Linked DNA regions of Lepisosteus oculatus. The protein of the gene in region 2 purifies or fractionates together with the protein of the main gene of each other region. This does not show direct contact. Links are inferred from orthologs where the notes say so. Each region holds a gene or a part of one and is shown on either strand. Other genes may lie near its edges. The genes, in order: smad7 and tgfbr2b.

What was found.
Region 1: the proteins of tgfbr2b (region 2) and smad7 purify together in Homo sapiens (affinity purification with western blotting; 3 studies listed by BioGRID). This does not show direct contact. The link is inferred for Lepisosteus oculatus from reciprocal best matches to the Homo sapiens genes TGFBR2 and SMAD7.

Annotation. Positions count from the first base shown.
Region 1 is NC_090698.1:21,265,072-21,276,707, reverse strand, and holds the start of smad7 (mothers against decapentaplegic homolog 7), read left to right. Parts: upstream 1-5,668; 5' UTR 5,669-6,794; coding exon 6,795-7,260; intron 7,261-8,299; coding exon 8,300-8,353; intron 8,354-11,636. UniProt on the Homo sapiens protein: Antagonist of signaling by TGF-beta (transforming growth factor) type 1 receptor superfamily members; has been shown to inhibit TGF-beta (Transforming growth factor) and activin signaling by associating with their receptors thus preventing SMAD2 access.
Region 2 is NC_090705.1:41,080,283-41,091,872, reverse strand, and holds the start of tgfbr2b (TGF-beta receptor type-2), read right to left. Parts: upstream 5,087-11,590; 5' UTR 4,616-5,086; coding exon 4,540-4,615; intron 1-4,539. UniProt on the Homo sapiens protein: Transmembrane serine/threonine kinase forming with the TGF-beta type I serine/threonine kinase receptor, TGFBR1, the non-promiscuous receptor for the TGF-beta cytokines TGFB1, TGFB2 and TGFB3.

The DNA.
Region 1 (11,636 bases), on a different chromosome or scaffold from region 2:
AGCTACCCAGCCAGTTGTTTAAACTGATACCTTTGTCTTTGTTCAAGAAACAGCTGAATAAAACCCTTTGATCAATTAGCTACTAGCAGCCAAACAAATTAAATAGACTAAATGACCTTCTCTCATTTGTAACCTATCTAATGTTCTATGTTTTGAGCAGAAAGCTGTCATTAAATTACTCACAAAGGAGTGCGAGAACATTGTAAAATTTCACAAAGTAATGATGGATGACTTATAGTGGTTAGCCCTCTCCACTGTGCAGAATTGTGTAAGGTTTAAAGAGAGACAAACGAGAACCTCATGCTCTGGGAATCCATGTATGACAGGGAATGCTGAAACCACTGAACATGTTTGACAGGATCATTCAAGCAGATGGGCCTCAAGTTGCAGGCTTTGCAAGTGACCTAGAAATTAGCCCATAACTGTTTTAAAAATCACCCTATTGATCACCCTGTTTGCATCATATGAAACCCACAGAGAGTTTGATATATTCATAACTTAGCATAACAGGTACTGACAATTAAAATTGAAAATAACACTTTAATATTGCTTATGTGCCTTCATGTGTCACAAGTGCAGTTCATTCGGAGTGTGATTTAATCCATAATCTCTCTGCAAACCTCCACACAGGCAGGCATACACTTCAAGTGATCCAAAAGATGTAGCAAGTGAAAAACTGGGTTTGCTGTACCTTTGAAGTTCCAAAAGAATACGTCATTGTACCAGACTCATAATAAATGAGCCCTGCTACACATGGGCAGCATGACATGCCTTTAACTGATAACTTCTGGAATCAAATGGCTTTTGAAATAAACCTTTCTTGATTTTGCTACTAGGATGTTAGCTGTCTCTTCCACTGTCACATTCAATGACATATTAAATGTAAAAGTGCAAAGTATTACAAACAGGCAGAATGAACATTACAAAATGTAGAATTTGTATTTTATGTGTTTATGTTAAATAATTATTTTCCTTACTGTGAGAAAATAATAAACAGGTTAGAAAAATACTAGATATATGGGCAAATGTATAGAATTTACACATTTATCTATGTCTTGGATAGTAAAAAGCACTTCCACAAAGTGTTTGTTAGTGTTCTGTGGTTCGCATCTCATTCTGTTGATTCCAAGGAAGTCCACACAGTTAGCTTTGCCAACATCTTGAAGGACTTTGAATATTTTGCTCAGGTCCTATCTTGTTTGTTCAAGACTAAGTTCTTTTAGGCTCTCAGTGTAGTACATTCATTTTTACAAGGCATTTTCCCATGAAACCTTATTACAACAGTCTCACATTTCAACATGTTTAACATCTATCATTAAACTGAGTTTCTTGATTCTTTCTGAAGTGCCTCTGTGTCTTATATTCATTTCAGTATTTGGATGGACAAAGCTAAACCTAATGTAAATTATATTAAAGATATGATAGTTTCTGTTAGTTTGTGAAAATATTGTTGTGACCAGCTAAGCAACCATCTTATTACAACCTGGTAAAGCTAAAGGTATTTCACAATACTAAAAATGATTTATGTTTTTATAACCTGGGGAAATTAAGAAATAACTCTGTCAGAAAAATGCACATTATCTATAATGTGGGAGCTAAATTTATTTCAGAGCTAAGCTGGGGAACTACAGGGCTGGTCTTTTGTGTTACATGTAAAAATGAAGAGCCTGTCATTAAAATGGTAAGGTCAAGAGGGAACAGTAAACAGTGCAAACTCCAGCTGGATGGAGCTCATGTTCGGAACCACATTTTAGCCTGTGGTTAAAATACTTGTAGATTATTTACCTATTTGTTTTACCTTGTATATTTATTTTTTTTAAATAAATAAATGCCTTATTTCCAAACTGGCTGTGGAAAAAAATGGAAAATGAAAAATAAGCCTCATATGTGGCATCATTTCTTTTTGAGCTTTGGACTCGGATAAAGTAATTCTGCAGGAACATTCCAATACAACACTCAAATAAAATAATATTTTACCTGGACAAAATTCTTAAATATTATATTCCTTATTTTATTTTTCTCCAATAAATAATATTTGTTTGTTTATGAAAACAAAACTTGGGATAACTGTGTTTTACAAAGGTTTGGGATTTTCTCATGTTTTTGCTGTCCATTTTATAATTTATTAAGATTGGCCTGGTACTAACATGCATCACAGTTCTATTATATAACACATCAATTTCCCTACGGGATTAATAAAGTATAATCTATCAATATAAAGACTTTTTGCAATTATCACACATACCTTACATATAAAAGTATTTCCCTTTTAGTAATATGCAGTATACTAATAGTCAAGCAATCTTGCATGAAGAGTATAATTGTTTAAGAACAAGAGCACCATGACACAAAACATCGCATCTGATAAGGTTGCAAACTGTATAGTATTTTTTTAACAGAGAACATAAGTATTATGTAGCAATATGAACCATATATAATTATTATAGCCTGTTGGTGAAAATCGATGTGTTTTTGCTTTAATTGCAATGGATATGTTTTGATTTTTATAATTTTTCTTATTCTGTTGAGGCCATTCACAGCGAATATATTTGTTTTTGGTTGCGTGACGGAAAGATGCAGATTTCAGTGTTTTTAAGAGAATGGTCGACTCGAACTTCACTTTATTGTGAAAATTGCTGCAAGGAGCAATTGCATTTTGTTACAATTAAATTCAAACAACACCAAGAAGACCTCGCACCCGGGACGAACAGTAGGCAGCCCTCGTACTGCCGCCCATGTAGTACAACGCACTCCCATTCATGCAAACCATTCAGAACACAGACGTGGGTCACACTGAACCGGGTAGCGCCCTCTGGTGTGCGACACGTGCCCTCCGATGTTCCCTTCTGTATGTGTGGGCTACCAAATTTCAGTACCCCATGGTACAATTTTCACGATGATTGCTGAATTACGTAATTTCACTTTATAACCACCCCCCACAATTAAATTTCAATTATGCCCTTATGATACTGGTATATGTATCAGGACAATACAATAATGTAGTACTACCAGAAATATCCCGTGATACATTATCGTAGCGATACCTTAGGAATCCTGCGGTATTGCTCTATTACAATAACTACATGCTATGCTGTATCGTGACGTCACAGCCCACTTCTGTGCGCTTCTGCATGATTACTTCCAGACTACCTTAAATGTTGAAGGTTGCCAGTTGAGCGCAGCTCTTGTGCGGCGCCAGTGGGGAATCTGCTAACAATGGGACTGAACCATTGACTGGCGGCGCCTCCCAAGCACACATCTCCCATCATCATTATCATCCATCCCTCTGCCCTGCAGCGACACTGACTGGCACCCATATTAACATACTGCACCTCCCCTACTGTCTAGGACACAATTACGTCGGCATTCTTAACTCACACAAGATCTCTGTCCACCCAGCCGCCGAGGCCGCTTAAAGGGCCAGTTTAATCATCCCGAATGAATACACTCTACACTTCGCACTCAGTTATGAAAAAAATTATACTTACAATTTCGTTCCAGCCGTTATTATTTAGGGAAAAAACACATTAGAATTTCGGCTGTATCCATTTCTTTATAAAACACTGTAAAACGAGCCATTAAAATTGTGATCGCATATCTGTAAGCTAAATCTCTCGATTTGTTCGAAAATGTAAACCGGCCAGAAGTATCTTTTCAATGTGCCTACTCTGCTGTGCTACTTTGTTACTTTTTATCTGGGCGAGTTGCTGCATGGTGAAGGCTAGGTTACATATTATTATGGATCAGAATTATGTATTCCACCACTATGCAATTACTGGTATTTCGTTAAATTTCTGGTCTAGATATTATAGTTTAAAACGTGATCATTTTCAGAGGTCCAGAACACAGACGACTACTGTACAAAGAAGTAATCACGATTTTTGTCCAATTCAAACACATTTCAGGGCAGAAAAATCTTCTTCGCACCAGTTTCAGTGTTCTTACGCTTTATCATACAGCACCTTCACAAGACATGAAGTGAAAATACGTGAAATGCGTGTTGTGATTATTAATGTGCGTCGATAGAATTTCTAAATCTTTGACAGTAGAAGTATTGTGTCTATGCATACGATCGCAAAATACTTATTCGTGGAAATACTCGGTAAACCACCTCGCACCTTCACTATAGCCCAATACAGCTAGACAATTACTAAGACGCAGAAAAAGAAGTACATGTGTAAAATACCCTCGCTCATCAGTAGCTGCTTCAGAGATGCGGTTTTCCAACATCTTGCGTATTAACAATTTCTGTAGCCTAGTTTCTCGAGTACACTATATCTGAAGTGCAATTCAGCTTAAAGCGTATAAGGTAACGGCTACAGAAACGATTACCCACAAAGTTTCTATTCGTCTCTACAGTATCTCTCTCATTCTGGTGCAGTGAAATAGGTTAATGCAAGCCGTCTTCGACTGTCTGTCACGGCACAATGCCAACTGTTCTGTGCATTCTGCTTTTTTAAACCGTAGTTCATTTAAACCAGTCTCACAACCACATCATTTAAGTAGATAGTTTAGGTAAGAAGCACGGGGGATGTCCCACAAACACGTCAGAGTACCAGAAGAAGAACTGATGATTGCAAATTGATCTATGCGTTCGTTAACTATATACACTGAAAATATACAGATACACAATTAATGAAGGGTGACATGGAGCCGATTGCATACACAGGAAATGGTTAAAAATGCTACATTTCATTGTTATAAGTGTAAACTAACGCATCGAATACTATACCAAATAATACAATCAGAAGTTGATATATATAAAATAACAATAAGAAATTAGCAAAACATGCTTCACTAAAATGAAATGTGTGTATCTTAAATTTGAAAGGCCGAAATTGATCCAGTTAAATAATTCTTCATTCATTTTATCAACACCTCTTTGTTATTAACCATGTATTGTCTATTATTAACCAGGTTTCAGAATCGCGTTTGCTATTGAAAAGTAACCTTGCTGTGGTGTTATTAATGTTTTCCAATTTAACTGCCCTATCTGCCACCTTGGGTTAAACCGTATCTGGGTTTCGGGGCCAAGTAAGCCAAGTACACAGGACACACACTCGTCTTTCCGTTTATTATAACTTAGATATTGACCCATTTTACTTTCTCAGAGTTATAGTAAATATCAGTTTACTTGACATAATAAGTCTCATCAACCTCAATGCAATTATACTGTATACTCTGATGGTATATATATACACTGTCTATTGCTTAGAATCGGTCATTCTGAATGTATAGACGTTTCAAGAAATGCTAATAATGGTAACATTTTTAAAATGCGTGAACAGGACGAATATTAATTCCAAAGCCTAAATTACATCAAAAGTGTCATGTTAAACGATCCCACAATCATACCTTTATTCAATCCCTCTCATACACTAAACATTTTTTTAATATGTTGGTTAGCGAGAAAATGCAATACATTAATACATGGAAAAGCGGACACAATGTCTTCCTTTTGCTTGTCAACTTTCATTTTCCAAGTCAAACGATTTTTCATCAGCTCTGAGAATATGCAACTTTTTTTTCTTCCTAAGAACGATTTCTCTGGCTTTAAGTTACTTGATCTCTTGTTTGCGCAACACAATCACTTTTTTTTTAAAGCGACAGGGTGTCTAGACACCCACGTGATGGGGCGCGCCAATGCGCACTGGAGACAGAGCTAAGAGCGGAGAGAGTCGGGGAGAGAGATAAGCAAGCGAGAGAAGGCAAGGGCACTTTGGGCAATTCACGTCACTTTCAGCCCTCTCTCCCGAAGATCGCATCACCTCTGTGCAGACTTACAATTTGGAGTCTCCTTCTTTGACGAGACGGAAACTTCTGCTTAAAAGAGGTCGGATAACGGAGAATAAGGAAATATAAAAGATACGGTGCTCGTAAAAAAGGGACGAAACCGAAGGGTCTGCACAGTATTATACTGGCAAAGCAAGTGTTCAGTACAAGACATTGCAAATTTGGACTGCCACTTCACCAGGTCACTCACGGATTTGCTAGAGTTCAGACCGGTTTGGATCTTTGGAAAAACAAACAATAGCTTATGATTTCTTAAAATTAATAAACCTAATGTATGACCAAGAGTGCAGAACAGACAGGCGGATATAATCTTTGAAAGAAGAGAAGGGGGAAAGACAGTCTCAGCTAGTCCTGTTATTTAGCAATCGGATCAAGGATTGTGTGGATTAAATCTTAAGAAAACCAGGACAAGATTGGCTTTGGATGTATTTTCTCTCTGCATTTTCTACTTTTCGTAACATTTTTATTATCGTTACCATTGTCCACTGTAGTTTGTGGTTTATTTTTTTCACGTACTGTTTTATATTACGCTTTAAATATTGAAGGAACTATTAATGTAACGATTTTTGATTATTTCCTAACATTACCAATACCGATGAGTCCAGGTACTCCAGTTCGGCTGCTATTTTTGTGTTTTTGCTTGGTTGCATTGAATAGTATTACGCTAACATAACCTACTCTAGTTTTATTTCAGTATTTATCATTGAAGAACTAAACTGATTAGGTGCTCCTGACTTTTGTACCCCCAATATAAAGCTAATGTGAACGGGGGTTACACGGAAAGCCGTGCGCCTTTTTAATTGGATATTTTTTGTGGAATTTTGGTTTAGAAATAAAAGAGACTGGCGTATGCTACAGATTGCCTTTGCTGCTCCAAATCCTACGTTTTCCGTAATATTATTTCAGGCTGCTTGTCGTTGCCTGGACTCGGATCCCGGATTCTTCATGATTTGCGGACATCATGCTCGTTTTTTAGCCGGGAAACCCTATTTTCGTCCCGCATGTTCAGGACCAAACGATCGGGGCTCGTCCGGCGACTCTGGAGGAGCCGTGCGCCCGTGGAGGGCGACGGGGAGGCGGATACTCGAACGCATGGAACCGGGGGCTGCTGCATGGGGAAATCGGCTAAGGTTTCCAAATCTAACCGCGGAACGGAGGCTGAATTGAAAGCATTGACCCATTCGATACTGAAGAAAATCAAAGAGAAACAATTAGAGGCGCTTTTGCAGGCGGTGGAGTCAAAAGGGGGTGCCAGGAGCCCCTGTCTTCTCCTGCCGAGCAAAGTGGACTCCAAACTGGGTCAGCACACGTACTCCCTTCCTTTGCTGCTCTACAAAGTATTCAGGTGGCCGGATCTCAGGCATTCCTCGGAATTAAAGAGGCTATCTTGCTGTGAATCTTATGGGAAAATTAACCCAGAGCTTGTTTGCTGCAATCCTCACCATATGAGCAGGCTTTGTGAATTAGGTAAGTTGGTATTTTCTTTCTCCGGTATTTTTAAATAACGTGACAAAAGATAACAGGCATGCTAAATTTTAACTCAAGAGTCGAAAAATGTCTGGCCAGGCAATTTGGCGACAGTATTCGGACATTTTTAAGGGACAACTGAAAACCGTAATGCAAAGTTTTTGTAACCTAAAATCTAATCGATAACTTTGTGTGTTAGCGGTGGCAACCTGAAACGACCCAGTTAATTAAAATTTAAGACAGTAGGTAAACGCAAAGAAGCATAGTACCAATGTATGAAAGACTTGTAATGTCTTTGTAACAGATATATCTGTACAAGAATCTGTAATACATATGCTTTGATCTCCTTTGTAAGTTTAATAAACTGCATTCTAGACTAAAAAGTAACATTTTTTCCGTGTGTAGTAAACAAAAAGGTGTGGTAAGAATATATAGAATGAACTGCACTTTGTCACATTTTCAGTGCATTAAATTGTAAAATAAGTAAGGTGTCTACCTTTTTATTTTGGTCGCCTACGTCTGTTGCATTTTTGACGTTCCCTGGAGCCAAAATTTTCAACACACTTATCAGCTGTAACGAAGTGTAAATCGGATTATGGCTAAATTAAACGAGGCAGGATTGAGATTTTTTAAATTACTTTTGATGGTCCTGAGAGAGGTCATTTTATATATATATATAAATTACACTAAAAACTTCAATCCGATAAAATCAGTCTTTAAGAATTAAATACACGAGGTGCTACAGGATAACCGGACAGTCGGGATCAAGTTGGTAGTTTCCAGAGACTGGAGAGTTTTCAGTTGAGCCAAAAGAGGCCCGTATCACACAGCCTGAGTCGCAGATAGCAAGGAGACTGGCGCCAGGCGGCCCCCTTTGTTTATCTGACTGCTAAATATCAAGGCAATCACCGCCTCGCTGCCCTGCCTCCAACCCTCGCAGCTAAGACAAACAGTTTTCTAAAAGAATGCCACTGTTATCATAAGTTTCTGTCTCCCCTTTCTCATGGCTCTGTCTTTTCTCTGCCGTTTTTCATTTCAGAGTCTCCCCCTCCTCCTTACTCCAGATACCCAATGGACTTTCTTAAACCACCTGGTGAGTTAAACTTGGTTTATTTTGCAATTTGTTTTACCTTAACAGTAATGGCTGGAGGTATATGTGAACCTGTCACAGCAGGTTTATTTTTTGTTAATGGTTTGATTTTTAATGAACGTGTGACATTGTTTCATATGACTTTTAAGTAGTTGCTGAAATATTAATTGTACTTTATTTTGTTATTGATGTTGATTCACCACTGCTACGACTGATGATAGGCATTTCAAAGGCAGCACAAGGTGACAAGCAGAAATAACGACTCGATTGTTATAAGACAGCAAGGTCTACCTGTGACATGTAATGTACATATGGCTCTGTGGGGTATGAAGGATCTTTTGCCTCTTTTGCAAAATCTAGAGTCTCCATCAGATGTTTTGATTTATGGCAGGGCAATCAGAATGCATTTGTGTATGCCAGGCCCCTGTAATAGGATGGCCTGCAGCCAAGACTCAAGCCCATTCCAGGCTGGCACCAGCTCTGTAGTGGTTGTCTGCACAAACTTTTGGCTGGCGGGTGACCTGGCAGGCCAGATAAACAGCACTGGCAGCAGAGCACAGCGGGCTGGGGGCAAGAGGGGGGTGGGAGGGGGTCAGCGCTTGAGAGGAAATCGGAAATGCGGATTACTTGGTGGGGAGGGGGCAAGATATTTGGAGCCACATTTAATCTGGGGAAGGGATCTGCTGATTGTAGTAGACAGACATGGAGACACCTTGGGATGAGTTGCAAGTGCAGCCTTTGATGCAGCTTTGTTGTTTTCAAGTGAAAAGAGAAAAGAGTCGGTCTTGGTGTCTAAACATGAGTTTGGCAAGTGTATTCTATTGCCTGTGCCATTACAGCTGGATTAGCTGGACATGAAATGCTGCCGTGTAGTTCACAGTTTGATAACGCATGAATTATCCACATTTTGTAAAGTTTGCCCTTTGTTGTACTGTAGTCTTAGTTCAGACTGGTATGTATTTGGCGCCGACTTTGTTTCCCAGCTAGCACTGGCATTCCGACCTCCCTGCTGGTCTGTTGTGACACAGATAATCTAATGTGTCTCGAGTTGGAAAAATAAAAGCACACCTCTAGCACTTTCACCCACTTCGTATTGGATGTTCAGTACTTTTCCACTGAATGTATCAGAGTTAAATATTTCACGTTTTGTGTATGTTTTTTTTCTCCACCACAAGATATCTTCCAACATGGTTTTAAGAAAAAAAAGTATCTAAAACTAATACATATATTTAACCCTTCAGTATGGTTTTATTTACAAAAGTTGACTGGCTAGCCATATGTGCTGTTTTATATCTACTAATGCTAATTTGAAAGAATGTTTGAGTTGGGTCAGGAGAGATAGAGTCATTTGTCCAAGGCTGCCTGGACAGTCAGAAAGGCAGGTTTGGATTCATACCCAGATACAAGCTTGGATCCTCCCAGGTCTAAGGTTATGCACTTTTATAGTGAGTCATAAAATAATTGGCGCTGGAGGATCTGAATTTGCAGTGAGCTTTTTGAAAAAGTATTTTCGAAGTGTAAAAGCATTTTTTTCTAGTGGCAGTGTATACAGTATGTTCTTATTTAGTGCTGTTTAAACTTTTATTTTAGAGTTATTTTTTTTCTCCTGGTAGCTGCTTTTAAAGCTCTGGTACATTGTGAATGGGGACTGTGTAGCCACATTGCCTAGATAGGAAAACATATTTTGGGAAACTGCTTCCCTCAAGGATGCTTATCAGGGCCTCATTAACCTTTTACTACTCTTCCGGTGAGCTTGGCAGAGTCCTTTTTCTCCTGCATTCCCAATGAGTGATGCGGATTAATTAGCGCGTGCTGACCCTGACAGCGGTAGCTGAGCATCAATAAACACAAAAAAAGTCAGCAAATAAGTGCAATGTGAAAATAAAAGTTCCCCACCATCAGCTGTGAGGAAGTGATTAATCCAAACATCTGTATAACTTGTAGAAAGGCTTTTTGGAGCTCTTTTGAAGGAAAAGCAGGAAAACTTCACATTGGGACAATGGGGTGTGGAGAGAAAGGACTCATTTATGGGGCTTTCATTTTCGGCCTTGCCTCACAGATGTCATAACAATATCAGGTGAGCTTATTTGAAAGCATGTTTCGAGTTGGGTCAGGAGAAACACAACTTTTCCCAAGAGATTTCTGTTAGAAATGTCAGTCTCCACTATTGGAAAATTTGATTGCATTTTCTAAGTATTTTAGAAGCACAGTGGACAAAATTTTGAAAGCAATTTCACTATGTTCACATTTTTTTTCAAGGGCAGTCCTTGCAGTTTGACGCAAGGAATTCAAAGCTTCAGGCCTGGTAAAACGTATCCTTTAGGTGTTAAATTCTAGTCTGGTGAAAAAATTCGTAGCACCTCAGCTTTGTGGAGTCCTTATCAGAGCAAACCTATGGAGTTTGGTAAGAAAGTTCTTTAGTATGTGAAGCATTTTGTTGTTACTTGGAAATGGAAAATGGGTTGGATAATAGCCAAAGAAACCCATCCTGTAGTTGGTTCACTGCTGTACCTTCAATGTAGTGTCTGCAGCCCCACTGTCAAGTGGATCAAAATTTTCTAGACAACTTTCAAAACTTTGTTTTGCTGTTTTCTGTTCCTTGATCTCCAAATAAAATACAAAACTTTGTATCTCACCAGATTTTTTAACTTTCTTAAGAAATCTGGGATCCAGTTTTGCTCTAGAGTGTAAAGTTTTATCAGTCACCCTGAGCTAAACATACATGCACAGCTGAAATGTCTGTCATTGTTTTAAGGAAAACAATACCAACATTCCTAACCACAAAACCCATGTATAGTTTGCTTTTGTGAGATTTTTTTTCATTTTATGTCTTGTTCTTTTCTCTAGAAAGTGTTTATTTCAATTTAATGGACTACTCCCTAGAGATGTAGGTGGAGGTGCAGATTTCTGGGCAAGTTGACTAGATTGTCATACTGAAGCATCTGTTGAATGGAAAAAATAATTCTAGTGACATTAAGGTCTTTTTGCAAATTAAGGTGAAGCTAAAAACTAAAACAGTATTTAAATAGCAATATTAAGATAAATATTCAAATGGTGTCCAGCAATAAAGTATGATGAACTATGATTTATCTTGTATGTGTTGACTGTTATTTTGTTATTTCATTTTCCTCAAATGAAATAACAAATGTCAGGATGAATATTGTACCTGTGCTCACTGAGTTGAGCCCTTCAGGGATGAGAGGGGTGCATAAAGTGCCCCTATATCTCTTTGAGTCTGTAAAGGTAAAGAAATTAGCGTTTTGGTTCTCTACCAAATGAATTGTGG
Region 2 (11,590 bases):
CAGCAAGCAGCGGGCGCAGGGCAGGGCACACCCTGGATGGGACGCCAGTCCACCCCAGGGCCGACACACTCACACCAGGGCCACGTTTCCCAGAAGACAATCAACCCACCGGCTTGTCTTTGAACTGTGGGAAGGAAACAGGAGCACCTACACGGACAAGGCAACATGCGAACTCCACACAGATAGCATGCCAGGTCTGGATTTGAACCCAGGGCCCCAGCATTGCTTGGCTCCTTTACAACCGTTTGTGCGATTGAAATTGATATTTGTGATGGTTCACTACAGATCCAGTGAAATCAGGAAAAACGATGGAAGACACCGACAAGGACTTGAGAGCTGACAAGAACAACAGTTTGAGTATTTGGCGGTCTGCGGATTTTTATGCATGTTATTTTATTGTGCATTGTGGTGCTTATGAAGGAATTATGAGTGCGTTTTTAGCCTTATTCAAGTACATTGTTACCATGAATGTTACACACGGGCAGATGTATATTGAGACAAGTGTGCACTAATAGACTAACAGTCACAGTCATTTAAAAAGTGTATGTCAAGTATATGAACTGCCAACGAAATTATAATTAAATAATAATTAATTATTAGAATTAAATACGATGCAGAATGCACTGGGAGTACGTGCAATGCCCACACTTCAGCCACCTCCCTCCCTGCAACGCTCCTAGATGAGCTTGTTCACAGAAACTGTCGCAGACATTTTTTTTTTAATTGGTGGGTTTGTTTTCTCATGGCCTGCCCTGCGCGAGGAAGCCACAGCATGTGCGCTTATCCCCCAGCGACCGGGGGACACCAATCCACTGGGACCAGAGGGCAAAACACCAGAACGATGATAATGACTAGTCAGCCAATCTGTAATTTGCAGTAGGGAACGGGAAGGTAATGAAAAGGCAGAAAATTACGGCGCTGCATGTCTGCCCCTCAGTGAGTAACAGTGGTCACAGGATGAGCCTCGGGGCCTCTGCAGGACTGACTTCACGGCACGAGGTGAAGGCCTGTGCACAGGAGAGCCGTCCAATGACAGGGCCTACCGGGAGAGAAAAGCAGCTCGAGGCTGACCATGCTGTCTCGCTGAGCTGCTCCGAGACAGAAGAGCTTAGCTTCACTCCTGTGGTCTCCATTTGGCCTCCAGCTTTCGGATTTACGGACGAGTTCGTTCAGAACGGCCAGACCAGTTCAATATGAATTACAGACAAACGGGTGACTTACGTTACGGGGCTTATAACGGAAGCTCGGCAGCAAGGTCAGGTCCTAATCTCCCACACTTCTGCTCGCCGGCGTATATACAGTACGTCTCGAACCCAGGACCTCTCTGTCCTGGGTTCTTGCCCCACAAGTGCAAGTTCATGCATCTCTGTCACACTGCTACCCACACCTCTCCACCCGCAGTCTTGCAGCATCTCCTCAGCTCAGTCCTCCTACAGCTAGGCAGTCATGCCAAGTAATTTCTAGATATTTCGTTTCTCTGTCGCAATCATTAGGGTCTAACTGAAGTACTGAAAAATAAGAAGAAAAAGGGAAATGTACTGTATATACATACTGTATGTGTATATTTATATGTATATACATATATGTACACTTATACACATGTAAATTGTTCCGTGATGAGTTAGTGTTTTATTGTTATGATGTGCATGTTATTTAAGCAACAATATTCAACCGAGCAAAGGCATAACACAGCTAAAGCCTAGCCGATCTGCAAGTGCCCAGTGATTACGAAGCTAGGTGGTCACACAGCTGTTTAGCCTTAGCAAGAATGCCTTCTAGGATTATTGTTAAACGTAAATAAACTACTCCTTCTGGTTCTGCTCCTTTCACAGACAGCAATCCAGACAATCGCAGCAACGCAAATGGAACAATGTATCTCTTCCACTGCCATGGGGCGTCACTCATGCCTGAAACAACATGGCATCGAGCAGCATCACTGCATCCAAGGCACTGCTGCAGCATCAACGAGTCCATTTCGTTCTCGAAACGGAACGCACAAATGAACGCAAGACGACCCTCCTGATTTGCACCCAAGTCAATCTTGTGAAAGAGTAAAGCGTGCATTCAATGGTGCCATTCTGAATATCTCAGCAGGAGGGCAGATGTATTGTACACATTGTATGGCTCTGTGAAAACACACAAAGCTAAGATAGGTGTTCCTTTGCCACAGGCCTTCACATGCAGTACATTGCAGATCACGACGTTTCACCGGTTCGCACACTGTAGCTTCCAATAGAACATTTTTTCCCCTCTGCTGTCTAAAGCACTTTATTTACAGAGATTTACTCTTTCATTACTTAACCTTCTTATCACCTTTTGTGAAATAAACATACCACTGCTCTTGAAATTATGTGTTATTGCTTGGATCCTCCGAGGCCTGAGAGGCAAAATATTTTCTCCGTACATGACTGTTTTGCAATCTATACAGCTTTTGACAGGAAATTCCTACACCTCTCATATTTTCAACATTAGGTCATTAGATTATTAGTCCTCTGTAACATACACAGTACTCAGCACTATTAAAACCACATGAGAAGTAATAATGACAGATTTAGTGAAAGAACAATAAATAGAAAATTATATGCAGCAAGAAATATTACTAATCCAATTTGATGCTCATGTTAATTGCAAGCACATTCCAGCTTTAAAAGGATAGGTTTACAGACATGGATATAATAGCAGTTTATCTATCTGGGATCTGTCATCTTTCAAAAGAAACTGACATTTCGTCTCACACAACTCTTTCTGATAAAGCTTGTTTTTCCCCCACACTTTCTCTACTTGCAAACTTACTCCATACCAACACAATTTTCTCCCTCAAAATGCACAAGGTATATCAGAAAAATGCACTGTATTTGCTGACTTCATGTGGTCTATTGCTTTGGCACAGGGGTACACTAGTTCAGCACTGTAGCCCTGGGATCAATTCTGGACCTGGGCTGCTGCCTGAGAGTAGTTTCTGGATGTTCTCCCTGTGTTTAAGTGAGTTTCCTCGGGGTGCTCTTATCCAAAGACATACCAGGAGGTTAACTGGCTTCTGTAAAAAACTGACCCTGGTTTAAGTGTGCGTGTGTTTTTGTCTGTATGTGCCCTGTGATGGACTGGCATCCCATCCAGGGTGTATCCTGCCTTACTCCCTAACTTGCTGGGATAGACTCAGGATCCCAAGTGACCCCGTATTGGATAAAGAGGTTAGAAAATGGATGTATGGACCACTAATGTATAAATGTAAAATTCATTACAAAACCAAACAGGTAAGTGGGACTCTGTCTGCACAGCAAGAATTTATTTGGAAAACTCTGCAACTTCAAGTGGTGTTTTCAATACTGAGAGAGGAAAAAAAAAACTTGTTCCAAGACCGAACTGCGTTGCAGTGTTAGGCCGAGGTGCAAAACATACTTGGCTACCCCCACACAAAATCGCTTCAGGCACTTGTGCAAAAAGTTGCTGCATACTGCACCTATCCTGACGCCACTAAGTTTTACAGTACAGTTTGTTAATCCACGACTGGTGTTTTCACGCTGCCTGTTTTAAGGCGCTTTAAGTGCTCATCATATTTATATAAACAATCGAATAACTGATCACTCACAGTACAAAACAACGGGTTTGCTGTAAAAGAAGAATGTAAAGGAGATAGCTCTTCCTCTGAGACTACACTGACAACCGTATACAGTACATTCATCTACACACACTCCGGAGTAAGGGCCTTCAACTTTAAAACCCAGCAACACCACTTTCATCCGGATATAACTCACTGTATGGCAAAAAAGGAGCACGCTATTCGATATCATATCTAAACTGAACAAATGCAATTAGCGTTTACATGGGAGAGAAATTCCGACAAGTGAAAAAGAAAAACTGAACTTCCCCCAAACAGTTACAGCACTTTCATTACCAGCGGATAACTGGCAAGGTGCTCAGATACATTTCAGAAACACCACCATTTCCCAAATGTACGTTACTATATTTCTGTATATAAGCACAAATCATTAACTGCTACAGCAGATAAAGAAATCTACAATGTGCAATACAGTTTCCGTATGGGCAAAAAAAAAACATGGTAGTATTAACCTTGAAGATTGATAGTCTGGTGGCTGCAAGATCATTTTGAAAAGAAAAAGAAAGATACAGTACGTAGTACTCCAACACACGTTTACAGGTATAACAACAGAAGACACCCCCAAAATATGATTTCTCATTTTTGGGGGGGTCGTCTGCCCTTTCACAGTTCAACCACCTGTGGCGCATATCCGTACGCATTGCTGTTAGTTTTTAACCTCAAAAAACTTTTCAGCCTTCAAAAGCAAAAGACATAAGGAAATAACGCGTATACTGTACTTCTGCAACAACGAGCCCCCTGCGATAGAAGAAACGTTTTATTTATTTATTTGCTGCTTTCTCAAACAGACCCGGCAGCTTGTGGACAACAATTAAAAAAAAAACGAACTCGACTGGACTGGCTAAAATATATTTTTTTATAAAAAGGGGTAAAGAAATTGGTGAAGTTCAAGGGTGAATAAAACCTTCAACAAGACTCACCCGTCCGGCCGAAGAGCACAGAGCTGGCGAACAGGGTAGTGCTCCACAGCACGACTGATAAACGAAGTCGGTTCATTTAGACAAACACCGATACCTTTCCTTGACTTTTCATTAAAATGTTTCTTTTTTGCTCTCTCTTCCCTTGCCCTTCAAAAGCGGAGAGGAAATGTTCCCCCCGTCCTCCCAATTGAAGGTTTCAACGTTGTGCGCTTCTGTTGCAAAGTGGGGAAAGAAAAGTCGAAGAAAACAACTCTTCTTTTTTTTTTTGGAGAAAAAAAATGTTGGTCTCAAACTCTGTGCGCCTGCCTTCAGCTATGAAAATACTCTAAACCCCGGGTTATGAGTCAGAGAGTGACTGTATTCACTTCTTTCGCGAAACAGGAAATCTTTGAGAGAAGGGCAGGACTAATTTTTTTTTTCTCCCGAAGCTGTCAGTCCCTTAGAAGTTGTAGTTTACTCTCCTTCAAGTCGAGGCAAGCGCCTAATGACACGCTTAAGACAGATACACACAAAACATCGGTTTCCAAAGGACGCATTTCTAGACGGACGGTATGCTCCAATTTAAAAGAAAATTAAGCACATAAAAATCACATTGATTTTTTTTTTAAAACGGTGCGCTTAAGGCAGTGCCCTACAGGGAAACAACTTTTCAGCTATTGCAGTTTTAACTTGTTTAACGTCCTCCGTACAAGTAATAGGTGTCTCCCGATGAGTCCTGTGGTTAGTTACCAGAGATCTTCCTCACAGGACTTAAAAACAAGGTTAAAATCCCAGGGCAGGTTGGGGTTTTCATATATTCTTCGAATATTTTTCTGTTAAGTAGCAGTTTATCTGCAAGATAGTGGTGAAAATGCACTTCCTGGGGGAGGTGGAGACATGTAATTAAGGTATTTTTTATTTTACTTGTTATTATCTCACGTGTTGTCGGTAAAAAGAGCGACACTGCGTTTCACCTTGGAATTAGGGATATACACACAATGTTTTTTGTCTGGACAAAAGTTTCTGAGTGGAGGCAAAGTTCCTGAAAACCTAAACAAAATGATTAAAAAGACATGTGGCGTGTTAAGAGCACTACTGACAACCGTTTGAAGCCTATGGGAAAAGTATTGTTCACTCAAGTCCCTTGAAATGCGAGTCTTTTTTGACTCACACTCATCCTACAGGAATGCTCTCTGATACATTTTAAAATCTAAACGGAAAAACAAAAGGAGATTGTTTATAAACAACAATGGGGAACAAAGTGGCATCTAGAATATTCACATATTGGCGAAAAAAATGGAAACTGATTTCCCTCTGCTCATTAAATGCATAGCAATGAAGGATGGGATCATTTTTACAGACACACAGGATTGAAAAATTATTTTGGGGGTTTATACACTTGTATATAAATGGTTAGCATGCTTTTGTGATGCTTTCCTCCTGTTGAACATAACCACTTTTAGTACGTATGAGGGTGTCTTAATACTTTATCGCTGAATGGAGGGATCATTTTTAGTAACTCTATAGAAAAGGAAGTCAAAACCACTGTAAAATAATAAGAAATGTATGCAAGACATTTACTGTAATACTACAGTACATGATAGCAGAAGAGTCGGTGGATTCTTTCACACATACTGTATCACATAATCTGATTTTATGGGAAAAGATTGAATTCCTGTGTGTAGCTCAACATTTTTAAATGCTTATTAATTGCTACAGTATGAAGAGGTTCTATGTTTAAGTACGGTCCTTTGTACTAAGAGATACCTACCTCCTTAATTTCAATCTGTGTCTACTTCACTCTGTGCTTCAAAGTAATCATCTGTTTTGGTATTTGTCAACCTCTTTGGAACAGCTCATTCAATTCTGCCTGGCCCCATGTTCCCTTTTTTACAGCCCTTGCTGAATACACCCATATTTTGGTTTTCAGTTAATTCCAGGATATTAGAATTTATTGTTAAAGGACAGTCACAACACATGGTACCTAATGAAAGTGAAGAGGGCCTTCACAGCGTGCATTTGGAACAGAAACACTACTGATTGCTTAGAAAGATGAAGCAATCCTTTCTTTTCGTCTGCAGGATAGCTCCAACAGCACACCCAAACATTAACAGTAGCCCGTCCTTGCTGCACGGCCAAGACAAATGAACATATTTCATGTGCTGGTTTTTATACTGTCAGTTTTAAGACCTGAATTCTTTCATCCATTCTGCAAAGCAGGCTCTAGCAGAACTGTGTCAGAATGAGAACAGGGTGCTGCAAAGGGTGTCTTCAGCTAAAGCAAATAGCAGGGGTCCTGTGAAAGCAATGAGATTTATTCATCTTTGTGTTTTGATGTACAGTACATCCCTATTACACTGTGCATTTTCCTTGTGTTAGCACGTGATGTTTATTTTTAAAACCGGGAACGGCGGACAAAAATATATTATGCTGCTTTTACGGCTAAGTGTGGTTCTCCCTCTGCAACGCTGCAATTAAACTAGCTGCCAAGACGATGTATATTATTTTATCCTCAAATGTTTACTGTACGTTCGCCGTTTCCGGGATACCGACGTAACAAGTTTTGACAACTCTAGGTAACACAAAGGTCCAGTGTGTCTGAGAAGCAAGTTCAGACAGAGCTACTTCTTGTTCTTCTCATCTCAGTTAAAGCCATGCTGGAGATTTTTTTTTACTGTGCTGGTAGTTGCACGTGTTTAATAACATTCTTTTGCTTGCCATGTGACGAAGGCCTATTAGTCTCCTATAGTGTTTTAAAGAGTTTAATATCATTACTGTATGAAAGTAAGGTAGGCATTATCAGTACACACATACTGTACATATCCACTCCTATGCAGCCTATACATATCTAAAAAATATACAGATAACAGTATGATGCATTATGAAAAGATTCACGTTTTGTAAGGCTACAATTTGATGATTTTTAAACTTCATATTTTTAACCCCCTTGTATATGTTCCAAAACCTTTTCAAAGAAAAGCATTTAAACAATGTGTGGAATCCTGAAACAGTTTTGCACACGATTGTGGGTGCTTGTTATTCAGCAGGATAATAAGCCAGATCAGACTAGAAGGCTAATATCTGTCCATTAAATTAATCCATATAAAGTAAACCCATTGAATGAGGAATTCACAGTAATATTTTAATAGCCTGAAGAGTAAACACTGCTGGTGGGCGGGGTGGCCTTTCCGATACTGCCAAATTTCCCACTTTCATGAAAAAAGGAAGCTACTCTCACAGCAAAGCTCATTTAAGTCATTTACAGCTCATTCAAAATGTGACCTTTGTGAAGTCCCCCTGCCAGAAAAGTCTAGTAGTAAAATACAGTACGTCTACTGTAAAAGTTAGTTGGTTACTGTTTGACTCAACCAAAATTATTTTGTGGGCAAAAAAATTTAATATAATCTTAATAATAGGTTAATTCTTGTTTTGCAGATTCTTGTTTTTGCACGTTCACTGTGTGTGAAGTGGTTATGATTGTAGTGTTTCAGTCGTCCATTATATGGTTTACTGACATAGTATAGAATAATTGATAAAAGAATGGATTCTGAATCAATGCACTCTGGAATTCTGTGTATCCATATACGTAAACACCCCACACATTGGACTAGAGTTATTACCTGTCCTTCCCGTAAGGAGACTCTGGATCATCTTCGTGCCTTCAGTCTGAAAGAGAAAAGGGTGGATGTTTATACGAAACCACATCAGGTGCTTAGAAATATATTAACAGAAAATGAGCAGTAGTCACCACTTACAAAGTAGGAATTATTCTCAAGTATAGAAGGTTGTCAGACGTCGCACTGAGAGCCTACACAAGTTTCCCTCTGACAGGCATGAGTGAGTTAAAGGACCCTTGTTGGATTGTCCCGTCCTTGTCCTCCACCCAGCAGGGACCAACTGGGAAGTACTTTCAGGACAGTGGGCTACAGGTGCAGAATGTGTTTTGAGACATCCCAGAAGTGGTGGGCCTGTGGCTAAGGATCTGTGCCTGCTGCTGGAAGGTTGCTGGTTCAAATCCTGTGGCCGGCAGAGGAATCCTTCTCTGTTGGGCCCCTGAGCAAGGCTCTTACCCCCAACTGCTCCAGGGGTGCTGTATAAATGGCTGTCCCTGTGCTCTGACCCCAAGCTTCTCTCTCCCTGTCTGTGTGTCTCACAGAGAGCAAGGTGGGGTATGTGAAAAGACAAATTCCTTATGCAAGAAATTGTATATGGCTTATAGTAATCTTATCTTATCTACAGTAAGTGTTCAAGAAGGATGGGATTAAAGTGTATTTGAAGGCCAGCTCTCCATTGTGATTTTTATGCCCCTGTTGTTATACATGTATTATACTATGTGAAGATTCCTTGATTTTAAATTATGTGCTTTAAAGTAAATAGGGTAAAGTTGCTAACATATTGTGCCCCTTTATGTAGAACTGGTATTTCAATTGGAGCAATTTGGAGAAGTACCTGTCGTGCACTGCCTAACAAGGCTTGGAACCCAAATCCATCCAGTAAGGAGTCCAGAATCTTAATCGCTTCTCCAGTGCAATTCTGTGTTACAGTACTACACTGTCAGCTGGCACACCAGTTTGCCTTTTCAATGGATTCCCCATGTTTTTTAGACCCGGATGATGCTACTAACGCCTTTTTTTATCTGTGGCACCAGTGCTAGGCTACATGATCATAGCTTTCTATGCCACTGCATCATCAATACCACAAATGATACGTAAGCAGAACACAGCTCAAAAATACTGAAGCCCAGGTGCTTTTTACATGCTCATGTTACAGATTATGTGGAGGAATTTTCCAAACATATTGGAAAGTCCCTTGGCAGCCAAGCAGACCGCTACTAAGACTATAAGAACATGTAATAGGAAACAAGAAAGAAAAACCTACAGCCTTGGAAATATATACAGTATAATGTATGCAATAACACTTGCATATTTCACTTCAAATAAACAAGTAATTATGAAACATTTCAAAGAACAAGAGGCTGTTTATAGACATCCTCTTTTTGTTGTATCTAGCAATAGCAACTTACTCCCACACACCTGCACTGAGTTCATCTGATCCGAGCTCCCTGTGACTCATTAGTTTATGAAGCTTGTGGAGATGTATAGACTGTGGAATGAGCAAAAGGAGTGACATACCAGCAGGCTTAAGTCATAGAACCAGGGAGCCTTTCAGTTGTTCTGAGGTTTAGCTCAGGCATCAGTAGGGTAGTTCAAAGTGGAGCTTCAACACAAATGGTACACAGCTTCCTGCAAATAATGTTCTGCTTGCACAAAAGCATATGATATGGAAGTTATTAAGCGAAGTTCGGGAGGGATAACACGGACAAGTCAGTCTCATGCAGCTGTACCTAATCGCAATCATTATGAAATTAGCCATGTATACTAATCTTGAATGCCTCCCTTCGTATTCATCTCAAGCCTGCCTGTTCCAGACCATTTCCACCTCACAGCAGCTCCTGGGTCACTCCTTCTGAAAGGGCTCTGAGCCTCCTCGTCCTGTGGCCAGCAGGCGGCCAATTAGGCCATTAACCTAGCACGTTAAGCCAAACTTACTGTATCTCACCAAGTAGTCCAAGCATTCACAAAGCATACAGCCCTTGGATGTTGTCATCCCTGGTGAAATGTATTTTTGACTCAAGGTGTAGTGGAAGGAACAGCTGGCACAGGCACTGTAAAACAATATCAAAATCATTGTCCGATTGATTTATTTTGAAATGTGTGCAAATTTGTTTGTTTTTTTGCTTTCAACGGGTATCAAGAAGTCTGTGTAAGGTGACGTGTTCATTTCAAAGACTGAGGTTGAAACATTTGTACCACGTGCTGCTAAACACAGTAATGAAAATATACTGTGTGATTTACTAAAGAAAAAGCAAACATTTACAGATGTGCAAAGGTATCATTCGCAGACACTATGAAAAACCGTCAGTCACTTCATCCAGCCTAACCTTAGACTAGGTTTTCTTTTTATTAAGACAAGTTTCAGGACTTGTCTTGTTTGTCTTCAGGACAGCTTTGCTTCCTGTTTCCTTTTCGCTTTGGTTGTGCAACTATGGAAAGGAAACAAACTGCTGGTTTCAAGCTACATTCACTTACGTTTCTGCAGGTCTGAACTGAAGAAAAAGAAAAAGTAAAAACTCTCCTTTTCTAAGTACAACACAAATCGTGGCAGTTCAAATTAATGGGAAGCAATGAATGTGCGCATGAAATAAGGTCATACAAGTAATATTAGGAGCCTGGTTCCCGTTATTGCATCGTAATGATAGGACAACCTTTAATGCTTTCTTTCTGCTCAGCATTGAGATGTATCTGGGGGTAAGTGGCCGGCATATTTTCAGATGAGTCTGGTATGACTGTCCCCTCAAGCCCACAACTCCACCTACTCAGCGATGACTCATACCTCAGGCTGATGTATTGTGCTAAAGGGTCTAACTGCAACTAAACAATCTATTTTGCAAGGCTGGGTGGAGCCCGACATCCCCTTGACCTGCAGCCTGGTGCATTCATTTGCAGAAATTGAGCTGTTGTGGAGAGAAGTACAGATAGATTGCATTGTACCAGTCCAATGTGTCAGCTGGATCAGGGGTGTGCTTTTGTTTTGACTTTGGAAAAAGATGTGTTTAGATTATCCATGTTTTCATCCAGTATTCATTTTTTCCCATTGAATTGCAGAAAAGCATGTTACATTTTAACACTGAAGTGCATAAGGAGACAGAGGGACAGGGTGGCATGATACAAATGTAGTAATTTATAATGTGAAGCATATAAATATACATTGTACAGTATGTTCTGCACATTCTGGACATTTGTATAATAATGAACTGTATTTCAAGGTAGGTTTGGTTTTGAAAATTCTAACATATGTTTGTTATGTACAGTCGATGCCCTGTGGCCATTTGTTCTAAATGTTGGATAGGCAATTGTATTTAGGTGATGTCAACCCACACAAATCGATCTCAGTGACAGATAGAAACCATAAATAAAGAGCGGGGGGAGTTGTTCACCAATGGTCATTGGGATTTTAAGATCTAGAGAAGATCGGGGAACAGAAAGCAGAAAAAATGAAAGAAAGGTAGTAT